Linked DNA regions of Sus scrofa. Each later gene encodes a partner of the first gene's protein in a complex. Links are inferred from orthologs where the notes say so. Each region holds a gene or a part of one and is shown in the gene's direction. Other genes may lie near its edges.

The links.
Region 2: the proteins of DLG4 (region 1) and HTR2C are in contact, whole or in part, in an NMR structure (PDB 2MHO), measured with the Rattus norvegicus proteins. The link is inferred for Sus scrofa from reciprocal best matches to the Homo sapiens genes DLG4 and HTR2C. Residues at the interface, in NP_062567.1 of Rattus norvegicus: Gly74, Leu75, Phe77, Ser78, Ile79, Ala80, Asn85, Pro86, His87, Ile88, Thr97, Lys98, His130, Val134, Leu137, Lys138; in NP_036897.2 of Rattus norvegicus: Val452, Val453, Ser454, Glu455, Arg456, Ile457, Ser459, Val460.

Annotation. Positions count from the first base shown.
Region 1 is NC_010454.4:52,551,832-52,558,658, reverse strand, and holds part of DLG4 (disks large homolog 4), read left to right. Parts: intron 1-1,749; coding exon 1,750-2,045; intron 2,046-2,162; coding exon 2,163-2,265; intron 2,266-2,402; coding exon 2,403-2,517; intron 2,518-4,007; coding exon 4,008-4,184; intron 4,185-4,457; coding exon 4,458-4,494; intron 4,495-4,588; coding exon 4,589-4,616; intron 4,617-4,746; coding exon 4,747-4,794; intron 4,795-4,869; coding exon 4,870-4,971; intron 4,972-5,276; coding exon 5,277-5,449; intron 5,450-6,374; coding exon 6,375-6,484; intron 6,485-6,827. UniProt on the Homo sapiens protein: Postsynaptic scaffolding protein that plays a critical role in synaptogenesis and synaptic plasticity by providing a platform for the postsynaptic clustering of crucial synaptic proteins.
Region 2 is NC_010461.5:94,190,809-94,197,635, forward strand, and holds part of HTR2C (5-hydroxytryptamine (serotonin) receptor 2C, G protein-coupled), read left to right. Parts: intron 1-4,376; coding exon 4,377-4,690; intron 4,691-6,827. UniProt on the Homo sapiens protein: G-protein coupled receptor for 5-hydroxytryptamine (serotonin).

The DNA of each region.
Region 1 (6,827 bases):
TAATCTCTATGTTTTATGCAATCCTAATCAGAATTTTAATGCTCTCCCCCCCACCCCACCCCCCGCCGAACTTGGCAGGTTGATTCTAAAGTTCAGCTGGAAAAATACATTTGGGAGAATAGCTAAGAAATTTTTGGAAAAGAATAACGAGATGTGACTGCTTCATCCAAATCTGAAGTCATACTGTAAAACCGTATTAAAATCACATGGTTCCTGCTGTGGATAGATGGTGTCTCTGTAGCAGCAGGGATGTAGGTTCAATCCCTGGCCCCATACAGTGGATTAAGGATCCAGCGTTGCCATAGCTGCCATAGCTGCAGTGTAGGTTGCAGCTCCAGTTCAGATTCGATTCCTGACCTGGGTGGCCAAAAAAGGGGGAAAAAACAAACAAACAAAAGACACATGGTCTTGTTTCTAACTACCTAACTACCTAGCAGAAGGAACCTTGACTGCCTAGAGAAAGGGCCCATCCCAAATCTTGAGCAAGAAATGTGGGAGGTGAGGCGTTTGCATTGTGGTTTAGCGGTTAACGCATCTGACTAGCATCCATGAGGATGCAGGTTCCATCCCTGGCCTCCATCAGTGGCTTAAGGATCCTGCGCTGCTGTGGCTGTGGTGTAGGCTGGCAGCTCCAGCTCCAATTCGACCCCTAGCCAGGGAACCTTCAAGTGCCGCGGGTGTGGCCCTAAAAAAGAAAAAAAGAAAAAAAAAAAAAAAAGGCGAGGCGAGCTTGTAGCATCCTTTATACCGTAAGCAAGGAAGCTCATCAAGGGTCCTGTCAGACCCCGGAGCTAGATGGCAGCTGGCCATTCAGCCAAAACTCATCACAAGCGTGTTAACATCTACGGGGACATAAGGACACTTCAAAACAATCGAGTACCTCTGGAGGAAGTACTGAAAATTCATTCTGAAAATCGGGAAAGGGAAGGCATCAAGCATTTATTCTCCCTTCCTGTACAAACTGCACCTCCGAATAACCTACTGGTTGATGGGGGGACGTTCTTTTTTATAGACGAATTCCTCTCTCTCTCAAAAAAAGTGGCGCTCGCTGTTTTGCTGTCCCCAGCGAACTGTCAGGACCAGGCAGTGATCCTCGGGGGCTGCTGCAAGTCATATGTGAAAGGCTGATGGGGCGCTTTATACGGGATGGATCAGGCTGACCATACCCGGACCTAGGGTTCCTCTTACCTCACCCCAAAGACAACCAGACGTTATCACATCCCGTGGGGATGCAGAAAGCAGGCAGCACCACCTGTGACATATTCTTGCCAGAAATTGAACTTGAGTCTCTATGCCAATAACCCGTTCACAGGAGACACGGAACAGAGGCTCAGTTAACACCCCAGGGGCAGGGATGTGAGCAGTGAGGTACCTCTTAGAGTGACCCAGTTTTTTCCAGCAAATGAATGGCCAAGAGGGGGAAAGGGACAGGGAGAGGAATTTTGTAGGTGAAGTTTGAGAGATGCTGCAACCAAACGAAGCCCCCCAAAGCTTGCTATTAACATTCCCCTTGACCTCCTGTTCCCTGGCACATCCCTTTCATATCCACTGTCCACGTCACCTATGAATTCCTGCCCCCTGACGTTGCTGTGATCTGCTGTCCCCTTCACCAGCCACGCCAGCCTAGTTTCTCTGACTCCCTTCCCCTGAGTCTGGCACTGCGGGTGCCCCAGGGTGGCGCCGGGGCTGATGGGTGCCGTCTCCCTCCGTGTTTTTCCATCTCACCCTTTCGCCCACGGCTTCCCTTAGCTTATTCCCAGCACCTGGACAACGAGATCAGCCACAGCAGCTACCTGGGCACCGACTACCCCACAGCCATGACCCCCACCTCCCCTCGGCGCTACTCCCCCGTGGCCAAGGACCTGCTCGGGGAGGAGGACATTCCCCGGGAACCGAGGCGGATCGTGATTCACCGGGGCTCCACGGGCCTGGGCTTCAACATTGTGGGCGGCGAGGACGGTGAAGGCATCTTCATCTCCTTCATTCTGGCCGGGGGCCCGGCGGACCTCAGCGGCGAGCTGCGGAAGGGGGACCAGATCCTCTCGGTGAGCGAAGGCCGGGCCGGCCCGTGCCCTCCTCCCCCGCCAACCCACCCGTCGGGGCCCTCGTGGGCCGGCGCCTGGTCCCCACCTCCAGCGCCTCTGCCGCTCCTCCTCCCTTAGGTCAATGGCGTTGACCTCCGCAATGCCAGCCACGAGCAGGCTGCCATTGCCCTGAAGAACGCGGGGCAGACCGTCACCATCATCGCGCAGTATAAGCCAGAAGGTACCGCGCCTGCCGCTCCCCCGTCTCTTGTGGGGTGAGATGGTCCTCAGAGCCCTGGGGCTCCTGGGGTCCGTGGGGGGCGGGGAGGGGCGAGGACCGTGGGGCCGGGGCTCAGGAACCTTCTTGGCCTTTCGTAGAGTACAGCCGATTCGAGGCCAAGATCCACGACCTTCGGGAGCAGCTCATGAACAGCAGCCTGGGCTCAGGGACTGCCTCCCTGCGGAGCAACCCCAAAAGGGGTTTCTACATCAGGTCAGACGCCCCCCGCCCGGGCTGGGTTCTTCTCATTCTGTGCCCCCCTCACCCCCCAGCCAGCTCGTCCCCGAAACCCTGCCTGACGCCCCCATCCCCAGGCCTGACACTCAGCTGGCTTCCCGCGCGGGTTAGCATTTTGCAACACGCCAAGCGGTTGGAAAACAGCCTTGGCTCAGGTGTCCCTACCGCCTCCCAGCCCCTGGGCCCCCTGGCACCTCCCCTAGGACGCCCAGCTGCCTCCCACTCTGCTCACTCAGAGGTTAACACGCAGCAGAGCAGGGGCTCTTGTCCTCCCAGCCCTGTGGGAGGACACAGTCCAGGGGAGGGGACCACAGCACTGTCCCCCGTCTCTCCGGTGACCTTCCGCTACCTTCTTAGAGCTGCTCCGCCCGCGGGCTGCTCTTTCTCATCCTCATCAGGTGCAGGCGCCGCATCCTCCCCCCTCCCCCCTGGGCTCCCATCCTCCCCCTTCGGCCTCACCTGTCACTTGCCCTGCAGATGGCCCTCAAGACTGTCGGCTCTGGCCTGGCCTCTTCCCGGAGGTCCAGACCTGCGGTTCCGGCCATCTGCTTTCTGGACATGTCCCTCAGGACGTCCCACAGGCGTTCGCACTCAACACGTCCCAAACTGAGCCTCACCTCTTTCCCCTGTACGCTCGGTCCTGCCAGTGTGTGTTCTCTCTCTGAATGGCACTGCCATCCGCCCGGGCACCTGGGACAAACCAGAGCCTGCTGGAGTTCCTCTGTGGTCCAGCGGGTTGAGGAACTGGTGTTATCACCGCAGCGGCTCGGGTTGCTGCTGTGCCACGGCTTCGATCCCTGGCCTGGGAACTTGCCCATGCCCCGGGTGCAGCCGAACAAAACAAAACAAAACACCCCCACAAAAAACACCTAGGCCTTGCTTGGCCCTCCCCTCATGGCGAGGTCCAGTTTGCCCCTGGGGCTGGTCACTTCTGACTCCCAGACGATGCTGGATGATCCTGGAGTCTCCTCCCGTCTTTCTAGCCCCCGTGCTCGCTCAGCATCTCTGCTGTCTCGGCTGTCGTTCCCTCCCTCTGTCCTGACCCCAGGGGTTGTGACTTTGAGGAATTTCTCATGGCTGAGGGTGCCCAGAGTTTGTCAAGAGCGATCTTTTTTTTTCCCTTGTGAGTTTGATTCCAGCGTCCTCCGCGCTGTGAGGCCCATGCATATTGCATCTGCTTTCTTGGGCAGGTGCTGGTCTAGACCTTCCTCTAGAAACGTCACTGAGTCCACAGCCTGATCCCCGACACAACGTGGACTGGATGACGGTTCACCGTTGTGGCGATTATGAGTTTTGGTAGAGCTTCTGGTCCCCACGCTGTTCTTGGGTCCCTCAGAATCCACGGCACCTGTGGGAGAGCCGGCAGCAGCCCTGCTTGTCTATAGGCCCCTGGGCAGCACCTCCAGGATGGGTCTCAGGGGCCAGGGTCCCCACCGGTCTCTGACCGAAGGCCGTGTGCCCTCCAGGGCCCTGTTTGACTACGACAAGACCAAGGACTGCGGCTTCCTGAGCCAGGCCCTGAGCTTCCGCTTTGGGGACGTATTGCATGTCATCGACGCCAGTGACGAGGAGTGGTGGCAGGCGCGGCGGGTCCACTCTGACAGCGAGACCGATGACATTGGCTTTATCCCCAGCAAACGACGGTGAGCCTTCCTGCCACTGAAGCTCACAAGGTCCCCAGGCTGGGCAGCCAGGATGGAGGCCATGGGCCCTCTGACTTCTTGGGGGTCTGTCTGCGGGGGGTGGGGGTGGGGGCAGGGCGTCATGACTCCCATGAGCCTTAGGGGCAGACAGCTCCCTTAGGAGCGCAGACGCCCAGGGGCTGCTGGGAGATGGGGCTGTCCGCCGGCCTAGGGGGCCATCGGGCCCCTGCCTGGGCATTTCTCTACCCCATCCATCCCACATGTATCCCACAGGGTTGAGCGACGGGAGTGGTCAAGGTTAAAGGCCAAGGTACGTGGAGGAGGCCGTGAGCTTGGGCGGAAGAGGGGGGTGGCTTGTAGGGCCGGACTCCTGACCAACTGCACGGCCTGCTCTTTCTTCCTAGGATTGGGGCTCCAGCTCCGGATCACAGGGTAGGTGGGCCGGTTTGGGAGGAGCTGAGGTGAGAGGGCTCCGAGTGTCTCGTGACATCCTCAGGAAGGTGGCGCGGGGCCCTGAGTCCCCTGCCTCGGAGCCCCTTGCAGACGCCCTGCCTCCCGCTAGGTCGAGAAGACTCGGTTCTGAGCTACGAGACGGTGACACAGATGGAAGGTGAGCCCCGGGCCGCCCCTGCACAGCCCCTCCCGCCCCCACCCAGCCCCCCCTGATCCCGCCCTCTGTCGTCAGTGCACTACGCTCGCCCCATCATCATCCTCGGGCCCACCAAGGACCGCGCCAACGACGATCTCCTCTCCGAGTTCCCCGACAAGTTTGGATCCTGTGTCCCTCGTGAGTGCCCAGGCCTGGGATGGAGGGGCTGGGGGCGGGGCCCAGGGGTCCCAGGCAGAGCCCCTTCTGGGCATTGATTGGGGTGCAGCTGGACATGAGGATTCTCGGAGAAGGGCGCTTCTCAAGTCACCCTCACGTCCTGGGCTGACCATCCCAGGGCAGGGATTTGGAGGACTCGGCGGTGGTGGTGTGGGGGGGAGGCAGCTCTGCCCCCCTCGGCCGGCATCTGGGGCTGCGCCGAAGGCAGGGCTGAAGCTAGACGGATGGCGGTTAGCTCTTTGGGGGCTGGGGTGACTTCCCGGCAGATACGACACGGCCCAAGCGGGAGTATGAGATAGATGGCCGGGATTACCACTTTGTGTCGTCCCGGGAGAAAATGGAGAAGGACATCCAGGCACACAAGTTCATCGAGGCCGGCCAGTACAACAGCCACCTGTATGGAACCAGCGTCCAGTCCGTGCGAGAGGTGGCAGAGCAGGTAGGAGCCGGCGGCCCGTCCTCTTCCTCCTCCCTCTCCCTGCCCTGTGGCCTTCCTCCAGCTGTCTCTAACTCTCTCTCTCTCTCTGTCTGTCTCTTTCCCTGCTGGGTCTCCGCTCCGCTCCTCCACCTCCTCCTCCTCCTGGGCAACTCTGTCGCCTGCCTGCTTTCCCGGGCCCCGCCCCCGCCTCCCTCCCTCGGTTCCTGACCCCAAACTCCGTGCTGCCATCTGTCCCCTCCCCTCCCCTCCTCCTTGCCCCATTTTTGCCTCTCCTCCTGTGGCCTCGGCCTTGATGGCCCGGCCTCCCCCCTCTGGGCCCTCCCTTCTGCCGGCTCCCCTCGGGTCCTCTCCCCTCCCCCTGCCCGTCCCTGGGGTCCCGGCTCCCGTCTCCCACTCCTCTGCCACCTCCTTCTTCCCCATGCCCCCACCCTGCCCTCTCTCCCTCCACGGCTTCTTTCTCCATCTGCCTCTCCTCCCTCCATCTGCTTCTCCTTGTTCCTTCCATCTGTCTGTCCTCTGTCCGTCCTCCCGGCCCTCCTCCCTCCACCCCACTTCCCTTCTCCTTCTGGGCTTTCTCCCCAACCTGTCGACGCCACCCCGCTCTTGCCTTGCTCTGCCCCATCTTTTGGGTCCCCTCCCTGCCTGTTCCTCACCCCTCTGCCCATTCCCCCAATCCCTCCCTCCTGTGCTGGCCCCTCCCTTGCTCTCTGTCTGCCGGCCTCCTTTTCTGTCCCTCACTCTGTCTGTCTGTACCTTTCTTGCCTCAACTTTCTCTGCCCACGTGTCTTTCGACATCCATGTCATTTCCCTTTTGGTGAATCTGCCGTTCCCCACCTTCTGGCATACTGTGTCCTGTCCTGGCACCTCTGTCTGTCCTTTCCCACCACCTGCTGGCCCCCCTCCGCCCGCCCTGCCCGCCCCCCAGGGGAAGCACTGCATCCTCGACGTCTCGGCCAATGCCGTGCGGCGGCTGCAGGCGGCCCACCTGCATCCTATCGCCATCTTCATCCGCCCCCGCTCCCTGGAGAATGTTCTGTGAGTATGGTCCCGGGGGGGCCTCCCCTCTGCTCCCCGCACCTGTGGCCCTGGGCCTCAGAAGGCCTCTGCGTTGAACTCTTCCCTCAGAACCCTGGACAGTGGCTCCAGCAGCCCTTGAGGGGGGTCTGCACCTGGAGTTGGCACCCAGAGGATGCAGGGACTCCCAGGCCTCTTTCTGCCTCCCTGCCCTGGTCTAGGCAGGACTACAACTCCCAGCAACCCCTGGGGCACACACCTGCTGGGGCGAGCCAGGGCCTCTGGGCTTTCGGGAGTTAGAGGCTGAATCCCTTCACTGGGGTGCGGGCTGGAAGGAGGAGGTGCTGGAGAGGTCCCTGAAGTG
Region 2 (6,827 bases), on another chromosome or scaffold:
TTAAACAATCACATAGAATTTTTTCCATTCTATTAAGAGAAGCAAGGGGAGCATTCACCTCTTCTAATAATGCCCATTGCCACATGCCATCTAAACATTCTGTAGATTTAAAATGTACTCAGACTTTTAAATCAAATTATCATTTTGTTTACCTACTAAAAATGTCAGATTATATTTTCATTAAAAATTTAGTAGCAATGAATAAGTTATTTGAATTGTTCAGAGAGAAATTGTGTTTTTTTGTACATATTTTATGAGACTCCTGTGGGCTTAATAACAATTAACATAAGCTTTAGGAACAAGGCCTATATTACTCCTCTTTTGTAAAAAGACTGTATGTTTTTCATGGAGCATGTAAATGTTAGAAATTAGGTTTCACTAGAATACAGCCAATTCTTGATTACAATACTGTAGGAATAGGATTAACTGCAATAAAAATCATAACAGTTTTCTCATAAGTAGTGCTTAATAAGAATTTATTAAATTGAATTGAATTGAAACCAGGAAACTGAAGTAAAAACTCTTTCAGGAGTTTCCCAATACCATTACTTTATTTACTAATTTACAATAGATATATTTTGCTACTACACGATTCCTCTATAATTCAGTATTTTTTCATGGACTCTTTAATAAAAATAAAAATAGGTTTGACTAGTAGAGGTAAGCAAGATGAATGTTTTAAGTGATTTTCTAAGATACTCAACTTATAAAATTCGTAATTGGACATAGTTTTTCATGTACTTTTGTTATGTACAATTTTATCTTGCATTCTTTTATCATTTTTATATAAAACGAAAAGATTTAGATGATTTCACAATTTACTTAGAAAAAGTTTCACTGCATATTCTGTGAGGAATGTATTATCTAGGCTTAAGAATAAATATATATGTGTTTCTACAACTGACAATTGGAGATCCAGCATATTATTGTGAGCATAAAGTTTTGTGTGACTACTTGAAATGATCATCAACTAATTTAAACCAGAATTTTTTTTAATACTTTTTTTTTTTTTTGTCTTTTTCTAGGGTCACACCATGGCATATGGAGGGTCCCAGGCTAGGGGTCTAATCGGAGCTGTAGCCACCAGCCTACACCAGAGCCACAGCAACACAGGATCCGAGCCACGTCTGCGACCTACACCACAGATCACAGCAACACCGGATCTTTAACCCACTGAGCAAAGCCAGGGGTTGAACCTGCAACCTCATGGTTCCTAGGCACTGTACCTCAACGGGAACTCCAGAATTTTTTTTTTTTTAATGTCAGAAGAACATGTTTTTCATCAGTTAGGCCAGAAAAGAAAGACCTTTGATTTAAAGTTACTATTTGAGTCCAGTTCTATATAAGTACCTTCTTAAATTAAAACCAGGACTTAAATTCTTGATCAATTTTGAAGTACATTGCATTAGGGCATTGCTACCATAAAATACTTTAACTTTGAAGGCAGAAAGAAGGTAAGCTTCAACACTTATTGAGTGCCTTATATGACAAAGGTCTTATTTTGAGGACTTTACATATATCATTCAATTTTCACAACAATAATGTGGTAAAGATCACTCTCATTGTACAGATGAGGAAATTGATGTTCTGAGAGGTTAAGTGACTGGTCAAAAAAAAAAAAATCATTGAAGTCGTACAGCCAGGACCTTGGCCATATGCCAAATGCAACAAATATGGTGATGGAATAATCAAAGCTGAAAGCAAATAACATGCTTCTTTTTATTTGGTTCTTTCTTTCTTTTTTTTTTTTTGTCTTTTTAGGGGTGCACCCGCGGCATATGGAGGTTCCCAGGCTAGGGGTCGAATCAGAGCTGTAGCAACAGGATCCAAGCCGTGTCTGTGACCTACACCACAGCTCATGGCAACACTGGATCCTTAACCCACTGAGCAAGCCAAGGATCAGGTCTTCGTCCTCATGGATGCTAGTCAGATTTGTTTTCACTGAGCCATGACAGGAACTCCTGGTCCTTTATTTATAAATTTTCTATTCTTAATCACAGAATAATTATGATATAGATTTTTGAACCATATGTTATTTTAGCTTATTTTTATGTCTCAGGGAAAAATACATCCAGCAACTAAAAGAATTTAATAATTACTTCTCATTATTTGAAAAAAAAATTACTGTGTATGTCTCCCCACAAAATGTTGCTTAGGATAACAATAGCTTTGACTAATGAGGAAGTAGTATTAGGCTAAATGTCTGAAGTATTAGTTTTTATGTCTTGAAGAATAATAAAGTAAAAATATTTTTTATAATTTCTCCATTATCTTAGAAAACATATAGTATATTAACAAGTATTAAGAGAGATAATTTTTAAATATGGTAGAAAATTATGATATTCTTACTTAAGTTTAAATAATGCCAATACATTTTCAGGTTTAGTGTTACAGTTTTGGATCAGAAAGTATGTATGGTGTAGGGAGTTCCTATTGTGGCACAGAAGAATTGAACCCAACTAGGATCCATGAGGATGTGGGTTAGCTCCCTGGCCTCACTCAGTGGGTTAAGGATCCGGCATTACTGTGAACTGTGGTGTAAGGTCACAGACACAGCTTGGATCCCATGTTGCTGTGGTGTAGGCTGGCAGCTGTAGTATCAATTCCGACCCCTAGCCTGGAAACTTCCATATGCTCTGGGTTTGGCCCTAAAAAGCAAAAAAAAAAAAAAAAAAGTATGGGTTGTGTGTGTGTGTGTGTGTGTGTGTGCGCACACGCATGTGCACACAGGTGTGTATAATGTTATAGATACAATTATAATAATCATAATCATCTAGTTTTACTACTGCATTTCTTTGATGATTGATACACACATACATTTTCCCTGTAAAGATATAATATTTTTAGTTGAAAAAACAAGTGAATGAGATAATGAAATAATATTTACATGGAGAACTCAATGTCAGGAGCTATAGTAAATGACATTTTCAATACTTCCGATGGTGGATGCTTTGTAATGTCATCTGTTCCATCTCCTCATCCAATTTTCTTTCACAGAAAATTGGTTTGCACCTATTGTAGCAGTAGAGGAAATTTTCTCCTCTCTAAATAATATTAGGGTTTAACAACCAGTACATATAGTGTACTTGTTGCTTAATATTCATTAAATAAACATTACTGAACATAGAATATACATAAGACAGTCATTCACAGATAATAATTCTTACTTTTAAGCAGTAAATATTGAATGTGCTTGTCTATTTTATTAAGGAAAATAAATGTTGGTTTTATTAGACACTTACACTAATGTACGTAACCTAAATAAATCTCATATCACCATCAGGGGAAATTAATTAGTGATATGAAAAACATAACCATGTTCTCCTCTCTTACATTAGTCATTTGGCCTGAAATTCCTACTAGGAGAATCTACACAAGTACCATCAAGAGAAATGTACATTTTAAAATGACTTAAGTGGAGTTCCCGTTGTGGCGCAGTGGTTAACGAATCCGACCAGGAACCATGAGGTTGCGGGTTCGGTCCCTGCCCTTGCTCAGTGGGTTAACGATCCGGCATTGCCGTGAGCTGTGGTGTAGGTTGCAGACGCGGCTCGGATCCACCGTTGCTGTGTCTCTGGCGTAGGCTGGTGACTACAGCTCCGATTCGACCCCTAGCCCGGGAACCTCCATATGCCGTGGGAGCGGCCCAAAGAAATAGCAAAAAAAGACAAAAAAAAATAATAATAATAAAATAAAATTACTTGAGATTTCGTTTCTAGCATAGGATAGCAACAACTCATAGGAATTAATTACCATAAATCATTTTCTAGCCTAGAATAGAAAACCTAGAATAGAAATGGAGAGAGGGTCAGGTAGAAGGAAAGTTGAAAGCACAAATATTAACTGTGTTTTCAGATTAATTGCATAGAGTAAAAGTCTAAAACACAGGCTTTGAAAATCACTGGACCCGAGTACAGACCCCGCCTCTGCAATTTACTGGGTGTGTTGCCTTAAGAAAGTTACTTAACTTCTCTGAACCTCAGTCTCTCCATATACATAATAGCTATAAATCGATACTGACCTCCTGAGGACATTGTATGAGATTATATATATATATATGTGTGTGTATATATATATATATATGTGTGTATATATATATATATATGTGTGTGTGTGTGTATATATATATATATATATATGTGTGTGTATATATATATATATTGCCATAAGCTAAGTGCCTGACTCATATTTAGTACTCAGTGAAAGTTAGTACTCTGGGGACAGGAGGAAGAAATGCTGAAGTTTAACTAAGAGGGTAGAAATGATGTTGATAATAATAATGATTGTTAAAGGAAAAGCAGTTGTTTTATATAAATAATTTATTAGGTACAACAATACAGTATATACCTGATCTTTTTTTTTTTCTTAATTTTCAGTGTGCACCTGATTGGCCTATTGGTTTGGCAATGTGATATTTCTGTGAGCCCAGTAGCAGCTATAGTAACTGACATTTTCAATACCTCCGATGGTGGACGCTTCAAATTCCCAGACGGGGTACAAAACTGGCCAGCACTTTCAATCGTCATAATAATAATCTTGACAATAGGTGGCAACATTCTCGTCATCATGGCAGTAAGCTTGGAAAAGAAACTTCACAATGCCACCAATTACTTCTTAATGTCCCTAGCCATTGCTGATATGCTAGTGGGACTACTTGTCATGCCACTGTCTCTGCTTGCAATCCTTTATGGTAAGTACAATTTTGTTAGTTTTTATTTTATTTTTTTATTAGTTTTTAAATCTCAGGTGGTGTCATAAATTTGTATCAGGTATCATAGTGAACATTCATAAATTTATTCTACTGTAGCATTTGAAAAATGAAGGAAAAAGAAAATTGTGTGACAGAGGTAATTGAATGTGCGCATCATATTTATTATGTAAATCAGTAGCAGAGTCTTCCAAAAGCAAAACAAAGGCTTTATAATATATTAAAGTTAGATGTAGATACTCTATTGCTCAGTGTCATTTCTAAACAAAAGTTGCCCTCCAATGTACAGACTGTGACTGTAAGAGAAACACATTCCTACCCCTACATTCTGGGCTGTACACATACCTAGTACCATCTTTTATATAAAGAAGATAAAACAAGCTCATTATCTTTACTAAACATATTTTAAGTAATTTTCTTCAATGTTAGCAAACTAAGTGCTTGGCACATAATAAGCACTTAACAGCTATTCTTCTTATTCCTATTCATGTTTTTACAAGGAGACAGGGATAACAAACTGATTATTAATTATATTAAGTACAAATTCATATTATCACAGTAAAAATTCAAGCATTGAAGGTTTTGATATATGATTTTAGAGAGGGTTTTTTTTTAATTTTCTGCCATCTCTCTGTCCTATTTATTTTAACCTAACTTGTTTCTAGTTAATATTTATAAAGAACAGTCAAAACCACTGAAACTAAACTACAAAGTATCTTTGTTGGGAAGTTGGAGAACTCAGTTTGAATGCTCATTTTATAAGGGAGTGAAAAAAACCCCCTGTTCCCTGGAGTGTGTAATGGGATTAGATTGGAAGGATTAATACTGAAAGTGTATCAAGTTCTCAAATCCTAAAAGAAGATCATTGAACCTAGGAATAATCTCTTGTGGAGCTTAAAAATTAATTATCCTATTCTAAATACACAGTGGTAATAGATCATCTCAACAGGCATTTTATAAATAGTATTCTCAGGAAATATGCTTTTCTTACTATTGAGTTTCAGTGATGCATTAATCTCAAAATGTAAGTATTTGACCTTCTCTGTGAGTATTTTATTCTAGCCCCAAATTATATATGAAAAGGTCACTGCAATGAATATGCCTTAGAAGGTATACTTTGTCTTGTGGTGTCTATTTCATTTTGCCAGTTTCTCTCTTAAAAATATATGGGTGGTCAAAAAAATGGCATCAGTCTAAATCCAAATCTCTTAACACATCCATCGTCCCCGTGACAAGCAGTAAAGAACAACAAAAACGAATAAAACTATACAATACCACTACCAAATTTGGATGACATCCAAATCAAATTCCAAATTATCTGTAAGCAGAAAAATAAATAGATGATCACAATGAGCTATCTATTAGGCTCCCACCACATGCTGTTGTGTAGAGGAAGGGCAGTCTAGGAAATACTACAATGAAAGAGAGAGGAGGAAAGCTAGTAGGAAGCCTAAGACTGATCTAAAATCATCATAAGAAAGCCTATCCCAGTGTGAAAATTCTAAAAAAAACTTCTCTGGAAGCTTAGCCTTTAGGCAAGTGCCTAGAAGTGTGTGTAGGACTCAAGAAAGCAACGTTGGAGAAGGAACTCTTTGGAGGTAAAAAAAAAAGATTAAAGGGAGAGGTAACTTTTGAACAAAAAAATGCACAGTGAAGGGGAAAAGAGACAAGAAGGGAAATTTTATCATCTTACAAGACAAAAAAAATGTCAACATGTAAGAATCCATCAAACTTCCCTCCCACTGCCCTCCCCTGTACCCCAAAATCCTCCAATAAAAAAACATACTTGGTTATGTGAAGATAAGAGGATGTTCTTGAGCTTGGAATCTTGGAAACCACCCACAAACTGCTCGCGATGGTCATATAAATTAAAAAATGCAACCAATCCTCATCCATATAAAGCAGAACATGAAAATCAAAAAAAAGGCATTTGATTAAAATTCCCACAAATAAAGAATGATTGAAAAATAAAGCTATAACAAAATACTCCAAGAGAAATTTTCTAAAACATTTAAAGATATATTTTTTTAAAAAAATATCTTATAGTAGAAGTCTAAAAGCTAAAAAAAGAAATGGACCAAAAAATTGGTCAACATAAAGCAAAAGTTAATTGAACATA